Linked DNA regions of Sus scrofa. The protein of the gene in region 1 purifies or fractionates together with the protein of each later gene. This does not show direct contact. Links are inferred from orthologs where the notes say so. Each region holds a gene or a part of one and is shown in the gene's direction. Other genes may lie near its edges.

Region 1 (4,151 bases):
ATTTCCCTCATTTCAAATTATAAATTTCAAAAATTCAAAGAGGATTTTTTTAAAAAGACACCAAAAATTAATTCAGACATATCACTCACTTTAAACAAAGATTTTTATCTCCTACTGTAAACTTTTTCTATAACCGTCCTTATTTAAACGTTATCACAACATTTTTGGGCAACACTGTTTTCCAACTGTCATAATTCTTCAATGTTTAGGCAAACCAGTGAACTCACCAATTTTAAGTTAGCCAGAAAGAAAGTTTTTTTAGCGTCTACAAACCTGTAAACTGAGCTTTTTTATAGTTTGGAAGCACGTGTAATTTATAATGTGTAAATACTTTTAAACACTAGAAAACAAATCGTACACACACATATAGATAAGCTGTTCATGTCTAGAGGGGTTTTTGCTTTACAGCGTCAAAAACGTATTTAAGATGGAAAAAACAACTATTTCAGAAAATACCGTTGGCAGGTCAAAATAAAAGTCATACACTTGATACCATCTAGACTCTAACCCTTTGAAAAAAAGACTGACAGTTACCTCCTTTAAAAAGCAGGCAACTGTCTTTGACGATACCAGGTTCCCGAAATGAGACATCAGAGGGAGAAAAGACCTCGAAGAGTATTTCTAGCAGACCCACCACCACTCTATACACTGCACAGGGGATACTAAGCTCATACAATCATCCAACGTAATACTACTAGTCAGGGCAAAGCGGAGATGAGCTGGTCTGCCACAGCTCCAGGCCAGAGCTCTGAACGCTCACCCCTCTAATCCACAGATGGGATGGGCAGGTCAGGAGGAGGGGCTACAAGAGTCTGAGAAGGCGTGAAGGCAGACCTGGACTTAAGGTCTCTAGGACATAAATACACCGCAGCCACAGCCACGGAAGCGTTACCTTCTGGTAGCAGCATCCCCTCGTGGGCGCAGAACAGTGGTGGAGCCCACGGTTGGCTCCAGGTGTAAGCAAAGCCACTCAGCCCTAACCGGGCTCAGCGCAGAGCCTCTTGGAGGTCCCGCCTCCCGGGGACTTTTCAGAGCATCGGCGCTTCGGCGACACGGCCCGAAGGGCGGGGCCGCTAAAAGAGCGAATGTCTTAGGCATCCAGCGCACTGCCTGACCCGAAGCGCGGACATGACCTGTTTTGGTACTTTGGACCCTGCAATGGAAGCGTGTTATAGAAGCCTAGGTAACCAATGGTCAGTGGCAAGGCGGCAGATGTGGGTCGCGAGCGCCACTCAAGGTCTCGCGTACCTCCGCGCCACAGGCATTTGCCGCTCCTCGCCCCTTCCGGCCCCTCCCTGTCGCGTGTAAGGCGCGTGTGCAGAAGCGTCCGGAGCCAGCGCGGTGAGGACCATGTTGCTTCCGAACATCCTGCTCACCGGTCAGGGCGCGCGGTGGGGGTGGTGCTGGACGGTGGGGCCAGCCTGGGACGCCCGAAGTGGGGGGGGGGGGGCGTTCAGTGTTCTGTGTCGGGGGTCGACAAGGGTCGCCTAGCGTGGCACTTGTTGGGGCCTCGTGACCGGCCCTCGCGACGGTTGCGGGAGGCGGGGGGAGGGGACCGCGAACGTCAATTTTGTTTGGCCAGAGGTTGGCCCTTCGGTGAGGCGGAGAGAGGTAGATGTATCTAGCTTCCTTTTTTGGCAAGCTGCCTAAGCTTTCTCAATCACCTTTTTGTTTGCAAAATGGCCGTTGCCTCTTGGCAGAGTTGTCTTCAGGCTTTTAGCAATATAATGTAAGACAGTGTCTGGCCTTTGGTAGATCTCTTAATGGTGGATGCTTTAGGCCTCCGGGGCCCGTTTCTCGCTTTTCCTTTCTTTCTGGCAGATTTCGATGAAAGGATTCGGGTGTTTGCGGTGTGGGGTGATTAATTTGCTATATACACTTGTGAAGTTAGCTTCAGAGGCTTTTTTTTTTTCATTATTTTAAGAAGGAAAGGCATCTACTGAGTATCTCTGGTCGTTTCTCGTGTAGAGGTGTTCTAAGATTCACTGTGGGGGTTCATCTGGGTCTTCGGATCTATACTGAGGGCGTTTGTTATATATGAGGGATAGTAAAATGCTTCATACCGATCTTATAAAGAATATTATTTTTGGTTGTTTAACTCTGAAAATGTTTATTAGATTGTAGCAGTTAATGGCATCCTAGGGCATTCATGAAAAAAATCTAATGGATGTAGATAGATGCTGTTGCATTATAAAAATTGAGGCGGTTATTTATTGGCAGCACACAAATCCTTCTGTTTCTGAAAGCTGCAGATTAACCTCAACAAATTAATGGTTAGCCATGACGATTTCTTAAGGGGAAGATTGTACAACATTGATTTGTTTGGGTCAGATAGTGAGTGTCTTGGGTTTTTTTTAATATTAAACCATATCGTCAAAAATCTAAATGTGTTTTATTGAAAACATGGTGAATTCAGAGTTCAAATTTAGTATATTATAGTGGATTGTTACTGTCCTTACATGAAGATCTATTCCTATTACCTTTTTTTGCTTTTTAGGGCCATACCTGCAGCATATGGAAGTTCCCCGGCTAGGGGTCATATTGGAGCTGCAGCTGCTGGCCACAGCCACACCAGATTCAAGCTGCATCTGTGACCTACATCACAGCTCATGGCAATGCTGGATCTTAAACTAACCGAGCAAGACCAGGGAACCATACCAAATCCTCATGGATGCGAGTTGAGTTTCTTACTACAGAGCCATGATGGGAACTCCAATTCCTGTTATCTTCAATTAAAATGATTAAATTTTATAATTTCAGTGGTATTAAACCTGAGCAGCTGAAAGTTATGAGTTTGATTATATATTTTGAAATACAGTAGATATAAAAAATAAGATAGAAGTTCCTGTGGTGGCACAGTGGGTTAAGGATCTGGCTTATTCACTGCTGTGGCTTGACTTGATGCTGTGGTGCAAGTTCAATCCCTGGCCTATAGTCATGGCCAGAAAGAAAAAAAGGGAAGTTGAAAAACAATATATAGTATTGCCACTTACATAAAAGGGAGTATTTGGTGTGTGCACGTATATATACACACAGTGTGAAGATATGTACACATATGTAGTATGCTATCATATATATATATATATATGGACATATTTACAAAAACATACATATGATTCTTTAGAGAGAGAAATAAAAGAAACCAGTTTATACTGGTTGCCTCTAGGGAAGAGTACAGAGGGTCCATATTGGAAATGAGATTTGTCTTTCATACTGCTGAACTTTTTCCCATGAACAATTTAATTTTTTAAAATTAAAGCAAATAGGAGTTCCCGTCGTGGCTCAGTGGTTAACGAATCCGACTAGGAACCATGAGGAACCATCCCTGGCCTTGCTCAGTGGGTGGGGGATCTGGCATTGCCGTGAGTTGTGGTGTAGGTCGCAGACGCGGCTCGGATCCCATGTTGCTGTGGCTGTGGCGTAGGCTGGCGGCTATCGCTCGGATTGGACCCCTAGCCTGGGAACCTCCATATGCCGCGAGTGCGGCCCTAGAAAAGGCAGAAAGACAAAAATAAATAAAAATAAAATTAAAGCAAATAACTCATGGTGATTTATTTGAGATAACTAGTTTCAATCTGGGGATTTCCATGGTGGTAGCAGACAGCCTTTGATTGTCATCAGATTCTCCCAAGCCTCACTCCTGGTAGAATCTGATACACCGAGTAGGATTGTCATGTCCAGCAGGCTTTGGGTGGTTTTCATTAGGTTATGGTGTGAATTAGGTTATGGTAATTAGGATTGCTAATTAGGAAACTTTTCAGTTATTAAGGACCTTAAGGACAGATCATTGGCTAAAACCTAATAAATATTTTATAAACAGTTTTTTTCTGTGGTTTGTCTTACAGGTACACCAGGGGTTGGAAAAACCACACTCGGCAAAGAACTTGCATCAAGATCAGGATTGAAATACATTAATGTGGGTGATTTAGCTCGAGAAGGTAAGGGACACTTCAGTGTTAGATTTGCTTTTTTTTTTTTTTTTTTTGGTCTTTTTAGGGCTGTACCGTAGGCATATGGAGGTTCCTAGGCTAGGGGTGGAATTGGAGCTGTAGCAATGTGATTCTGAGCCACGTCTTCGACCTACACCACAACTCGAGGCGACGTCGGATCCTTAACCCACTAAGCAGGGCCAGGGATCAAACCTGCATTCT
Region 2 (2,673 bases), on another chromosome or scaffold:
GGCAGGAGGGCAGCAGAGGCCTTGGGGAAGGTGGAGGGGGGGCATGTGGGTAGACGGGCCTCTTACTGGTGGGGAAGAGTAGGAATTTGAGGATGTTTCTTTGTCAAATCTTTTTTCCTTCCCTGGGTTCTCGGCTCCCCCTTATCGTTACCCTTTCCCCAAAGCTATGGTATCTCCCATTCCAGAACCCCAATTCCCCTCGAAGATCCAAGTCTTTAAAACACAAAAATGGTGAGTGGGGCTGGAACAGCGGGAGTGATTCTAGCTGTGTCTTCTGGGACTCGTGGCCGGAGGGCGGAGGTGGGGACACGGGGTTGGGGGGTGGGCAGGGGTATCGAGGGAGGGCCTGTGATCCTTCTGTCACCCCCACTTCCTTTCTGGTTATTTTCAGGGTTCTCTGTCTGTACCTCTGCATCAAACACCCTTCCCCTTCTTTTTTCTTCTTCAGGGGAACTTAGCAATTCGGATCCTTTTAAGGTGAGTAGGGGCTGCCCCTGAGGTTTCCTCTCATTTTCCTTGCTGCGGGTTGGATGGGCTTTGCCCATGTGGGGATCAGAACACTGGCGGCCAGGAGCTCTGGACAGGGTGCTTAGCTCTTGTGTATTTGTGTTCTCTGTGGGCCCCAGCCCCTTACCCAATGCCCGCGGGGTGAAAGGCATCACGGGGAGACCGCCAGGCAGGCTTCAGGCCTCACTGGGGGCGGGGAGGGGTGCTGATTCCCCACTCCCACCTCTGCCCCCGCCCTTGGCTGCCCCATCTCTAACCTGTACCTCTGGTTCTCACCCAGTATAACAACTCAACTGGGATCAGCTACGAGACCCTGGGGCCGGAGGAGCTGCGTAGCCTGCTCACCACGGTGAGGGCCCGAGTCAGTCACAAACGGTGGTTGAGGCTCTGGGAGAGGCTGGTGGCAGCAGAGAGGGCTGGGCGGTTCTGTCTCTAGAACTAGGTTTCCTGGCCAGTGGCGGTCTGGGACCCTCTGCCGTGGACACCCTGGGGCCCCCTCTGCTCGTGCAGTCCGGCACTTGTACAGAAGAGAATGTCTAGTGTCTGGAGGAGGCTTCCCTCCGCTCCTCCTTTCAGCTTCTGTTCCTCTTGCAGCAATGCGGGGTGATTTCTGAACACACCAAGAAGATGTGCACAAGGTGAGCTCAGAACCTCTCAAGGGGCCAGGAGGCCCTTCTGCACACTCACCCTGGGCCCGGGCTGGGAGTGCCCCCCGACCCCGGAACTGAGCAGTGGGACTCTGCCCTCCCCTGTCCTCTGCCGGTCAGGCCTTAGGCCACCACCTGGGGGCTCTTGTTCATCCCCTCCCCGTGTCCTCAGCAGAGACGGGAGGGGCCTCTCTGGGGTCCTCTGACCCTTCCTGGCTCATCCGGGGCTGATCATTTGCTCCCTACCAGGTCCCTGCGCTGCCCCCAGCACACAGATGAGCAGCGGCGAGCCGTGCGGATTTATTTCCTTGGCCCCTCAGCGTAAGTGACCCTCGAGGAAGGGCGGTGGTTGTGGAAGAAGGCGAGGAGGATGGCTGGGATCCCTAAAGCCCTCCTCCGGCCTCTCCTCTTCCCAGTGCCCTTCCAGAGGTCGAGAGTTCCCTGGATAATGACAGCTTTGACATGACTGACAGCCAAGCCCTGATCAGCCGGCTTCAGTGGGACGGCTCCTCTGATCTCTCACCCTCCGATTCAGGCTCCTCCAAGACGAGCGAGAATCAGGGATGGGGTCTAGGTAGGTGATGCAGCCGGGCCCCGGGGCCTGTCTGCTCGGAGCGAGGGAGTGGGGGCACCTTGCGTTCCCCTGCCCCAGCCCTCTCCATCCCTCGTGCCTCTTTCTTTTCAGGTACCAACAGCTCTGAGTCACGGAAAACCAAGAAAAAGAAATCCCATCTGAGCCTGGTAGGGACTGCCTCCAGCCTGGGCTCCAACAAGAAGAAAAAGCCAAAGCCGCCGGCACCCCCGACGCCCAGCATCTATGATGACATCAACTGACTCGGGTGCAAGGGATAGCCTTTGGCTGAGCAGAGCCCGCTCTCCCGACCCCCACCCAGGTGGCACAGCCTGGCAAACGGACGGCTGCTGGGGGTTTGGGCTTGGGAAGCTTGGTAGGCCAGGCAGGTGGAGGATCCAATTCTGCACCCCTGGGGGGTGTCAGGGTCCTCTGCGGTGGAGCACGACCCCTCGGCATGTAGGACTCAGACCTGGACATGTTATGCCTTGGACATAAGTCTGGTGGGGAGGCGGTTTTCCTATTTATTCTGTGAGTTACTGGATGTCCAGCTAGGCCAGGGGCCTGACCTGGGCACTGTGCCAGGGCACTGCCGCCCCCCCACCCCAGGAACTGGACTAAGCCCTGCCGAGGAGCATCGTGGCTGCCCGGGAGGCTGTGGGTTGGAAGCCGAGCCTGGAGGGGGCCTCCCCCAGCTGCCCTCAGCAATGTGAATGGGTCCGGTGCTTGGAGCCGAGGGGCAGGGCTGGGCGTGTCCTGTCTGTGCAGAATCCTATCAAACGCCCCCATCCAGGGGTGGGCAGGCACAGCGCGCTGTCTGCTGAGGTGGGCGTCCAGAACTGCCGCCGCCTTCCCTGCCCCTCACAGGGGCAGCCCTTTCCCCTCAGTCCCCAGGGGCCTCCTTGGCAGCAGGAGCTGTCCTTTCGTTGTTGGGTGCCAGGAAAGGGC
Region 3 (3,517 bases), on another chromosome or scaffold:
TTTCTTTATGCCCACTAGCTGCCCTTAGGCACATTTCCTCACCTCACTGAGCCTCAGTTTCCTCTCTGGCTCAAACACAGTAGTGTCTCCCTCTCCCACATAAGATGCTGGGCACATGTTTCATGTTGGTTGAGGAGGAGGGAGATCTCTGTGCCACATCATCAGACAGGGATTCCAGTTATGGTGGCTTTGCCATCTTAAACATGCACTCTGCACAAGGTCACTCCAAGTCCAACTGCCACTTCAGGCCTTCAGGAAAAGACCAAGGAGGAGTGTGTGAAGGTCATGGCCGGTTGAGGCTCTTATCTCTTCTGATCACTATGGAGAATCGCATGGCTACCCTTGATAGCAAGGGAGGCTGGGAAGTGTGGTTATCTGGGCAGCCGTAAGGCCAGCTACTGTAGAAGGGCGAGGATGGCTTTTGGACACCTGATGCATGCCTAGCAGAGCACCTCATGCATTGCAAATGCCTAACAAACCTTAGCTCTTCTCATTGCTATTGCTGTTATCATCATCTTTTATGCTCCCTTCTTTCAGATTCAATACAAAAAACAAGTGTTTTTAAAATGATCAAAGCTTTTTGGAGTCTGTTTGGGAAGGCTTTTCAGAGAGGATTGGATAGGAAAGAGAAAAGGCTATTTCTGGTCTGTGAAGACTGTCCATGTAGATTGGAGGGGAGCAGGAAGGTGATAATACTACGGCTCTTTCTCCATCCATTTCTATGCTCTTCTAGGAAAATATTATTTCCCCTATGGAGGACTCTCCTATTCCTGACATGTCTGGGAAAGAATCGGGGGCTGATGGGGCAAGCACCTCTCCCCGAAATCAGAACAAGCCCTTCAGGTGAGTGACGTCCTGTCCATACACCACAGTCTCGTCTCTGCTTCTGTTGACTTCCATCCATCTCAGCATGATGTGGTCTTCATTAATAGAGAGGCTGAGGACATTTTGATAAAGCCCAATAAAAGTCTGACATGCATGCTGGCCCAGCAGTTCTGCAAGCACAGACTTAGGACAGAGTTTTTATCATAGCACTGTTCTTACTGTAAACAACCTAAATGTCCAACTGAAGAGGAGTAATTCTACACAATGAAGTAGCTTGTAGCTACTAATCATATCAGAGAAATACAGTTAATTGACATGAAAAGATATAAACAATAGAATGATAAATGGAAAATGTCAGTTTTAGCAAGGTACAGGCAATGCAGTTCCTTTTTTTTTTTTTGGCTGCAAATGGGGCATGCAGAAGTCCTGGGGCCAGGGAGCAAACCTTCACCACACCTGCCACCTGAGCCACAGCAGTGACAGTGCCAGATCCTTAGCCCACTGCGCCACCAGAGGAACTCCAATATGATCCTATTTTTACTTCAGATAGATTTAGGAGTTCCCAGCGTGACTTAGTGGTTAATGAGCCCAACTAGTATCCATGAGGACGTGGGTTCGATTCCTGGCCTTGCTCAGTGGGTTAAGGACCCAGAGTTGCTGTGAGCTGTGGTGTAAGTCACAGACGCATCTTGGATCCTGTGTGGCTGTGGCATTGGCCAGCAGCTATAGCTTCAATTGGACCCCTAGCCTGGGAACCTCCATATGCCACAGGTATAGCCCTCAAAAGACAAAAAAAAAAATTATTTAAATGTGTGTACCTGTGGGGGGGACCTAAAGTAATATGTAATAAACATGGGAACAGTTATGTAACAAAATTTGGAATATGTATAATATTTACATAACTATATAAATGGAGATATTTTGTAAATATAACATATTAACATATAGTAATATAATAGTAATATATGTAATACTAACAAGATAACAAAATAACACTAGTTCTTTCTGGGTTGTTGGCATTATAGTTATTTCTGTATTTTATATTACATAACGTCGATACCTGTTGCTCGTGTTTGAAACAGGACCAGGTGTGTCTGTCTGTCTCTCTCTTTTTTTTTAACAGCTGCACTTGCAGCATATGGAAGTTCCTGGGCTAGGGGTGAATCAGATCTGTGGCTATTGGTCTACACCACAGCCACAGCAATGCCAGATCTGAGCTGCCTCTGTGACCTACACCACCCCTTGCAGCAAGGCTGGATCCTTAACCCACTGAGCAAGGCCAGGTATCAAACCCACATCCTCATGGAGACTATGTCAGGTTCTTAACCTGCTGAGCCACAATGGGAACTCCTCTGTGTCTACTTTTTTTTTTTTTTTTTTTTGTCTTTTTGTCTTTTTGCCATTTCTTGGGCCGCTCCCGAGGCATATGGAGGTTCCCAGGCTAGGGGTCTAATCGGAACTGTAGCTGCCAGCCTACGCCAGAGCCACAGCAACGCAGGATCCAAGCCGCGTTTGCAACCTACACCACAGCTCACAGCAACGCCAGATCGTTAACCCACTGAACAAGGGCAGGAATCGAACCCACAACCTCATGGTTCCTAGTCGGATTCGTTAACCACTGCGCCACAACGGGAACTCCCTGTGTCTACATTTTTATGTCTGGATAGATATAGAGGGGATGCCCAAGAGAAAGAAGGGTGTCCTAACCTTGGGCGTCTCTGAGGGCTTCCCCCTCCAAGCTGGCTCTTGTGCTGAGCACTGCCTTCCCTGCAGTGTGCCACATACAAAGTCCCTGGAGAGCCGCATCAAGGAGGAGCTGATTGCCCAGGGCCTACTGGAGTCTGAGGACCGCCCCGCGGAGGATTCAGAGGATGAGGTTCTTGCAGAGCTGCGCAAACGGCAGGCTGAGCTGAAGGCACTCAGTGCCCACAACCGCACCAAAAAACATGACCTGCTAAGGTGAGTGTGTACGGGATGCATGGGCCAGGGAGTGGCGAACAAGGCCTGGCCATGCTGGTCACCTTCCAGGAGCTTTACAGCAGGCTTCCCAAACTTGGCAGGGCCTCTAATCACCCGGAAGCCTTTGAAAAAAGGTGTTAATACTGGGCATCACCCCACTGGTTATGTCTCAAGCAGATTCTAATTTCATGGACTAGAGCTCAGGAACGTGTAATTTTGTTTTTTGTTTTTTGTTTTTTTTTAGGGCTGCACCTGAGGCATATGGAGGTTCCCAGGCTAGGGGTCTAATCGGCCTATACCATAGCCATAGCAATGACAGATGCAAGCAGCGTCTGTGACCTACACCACAGCCCACGGCAACACTGAATCCTTAACCCACTGAGCAAGGCCAGGGATCAAACCCACAACCTCATGGTTCCTAGTTGATTCATTCATTTCCACTGTGCCACAATGGGAACTCCTGTAATTTGTTTATTTACTTCAAACTTGTTTATTTACTTCTAATTATTGTAGTTAAAAAAAAATACAAAAGTTATCCCCTAAATTGTTTTTATTGTACAGTTCAATGGTGTTAACTATTCACATTGTTGTGTGTTTTATTTCTTTTCATGCTATTTTCTTTTCCCCTCAAAGTTTTATTGTGCAGAATTTCATACAAAACGTCTGATAGTGTCAGAGTTCTTGTCATGGTGCAGCAGAAACAAATCGACTAGGAACCATGAGGTTGCAGGTT

Evidence for each region. Proteins that work in one complex are often made in the same cells at the same time.
Region 2: the proteins of TAF9 (region 1) and ATXN7L3 purify together in Homo sapiens (affinity purification with mass spectrometry; 6 studies listed by BioGRID and IntAct, counting the BioPlex papers as one, with this or other methods). This does not show direct contact. The link is inferred for Sus scrofa from reciprocal best matches to the Homo sapiens genes TAF9 and ATXN7L3.
Region 3: the proteins of TAF9 (region 1) and TADA3 purify together in Homo sapiens (affinity purification with mass spectrometry; 3 studies listed by BioGRID, with this or other methods). This does not show direct contact. The link is inferred for Sus scrofa from reciprocal best matches to the Homo sapiens genes TAF9 and TADA3.

What each region holds. Positions count from the first base shown.
Region 1 is NC_010458.4:47,496,678-47,500,828, reverse strand, and holds the start of TAF9 (transcription initiation factor TFIID subunit 9), read left to right. Parts: upstream 1-1,341; 5' UTR 1,342-1,350; coding exon of another isoform or gene 1,351-1,378; intron 1,379-1,381; exon of another isoform or gene 1,382-1,729; intron 1,730-3,845; coding exon of another isoform or gene 3,846-3,938; intron 3,939-4,151. Other genes in the region: cell cycle checkpoint protein RAD17, read right to left, coding at 893-908; AK6 (adenylate kinase isoenzyme 6), read left to right, coding at 1,191-1,341, 3,846-3,938. UniProt on the Homo sapiens protein: The TFIID basal transcription factor complex plays a major role in the initiation of RNA polymerase II (Pol II)-dependent transcription.
Region 2 is NC_010454.4:19,015,313-19,017,985, forward strand, and holds part of ATXN7L3 (ataxin-7-like protein 3), read left to right. Parts: intron 1-164; coding exon 165-231; intron 232-391; coding exon 392-477; intron 478-787; coding exon 788-856; intron 857-1,101; coding exon 1,102-1,145; intron 1,146-1,403; coding exon 1,404-1,475; intron 1,476-1,570; coding exon 1,571-1,728; intron 1,729-1,839; coding exon 1,840-1,988; 3' UTR 1,989-2,673. UniProt on the Homo sapiens protein: Component of the transcription regulatory histone acetylation (HAT) complex SAGA, a multiprotein complex that activates transcription by remodeling chromatin and mediating histone acetylation and deubiquitination.
Region 3 is NC_010455.5:66,069,967-66,073,483, reverse strand, and holds part of TADA3 (transcriptional adapter 3), read left to right. Parts: intron 1-733; coding exon 734-843; intron 844-2,598; coding exon 2,599-2,784; intron 2,785-3,517. UniProt on the Homo sapiens protein: Functions as a component of the PCAF complex. The PCAF complex is capable of efficiently acetylating histones in a nucleosomal context. The PCAF complex could be considered as the human version of the yeast SAGA complex.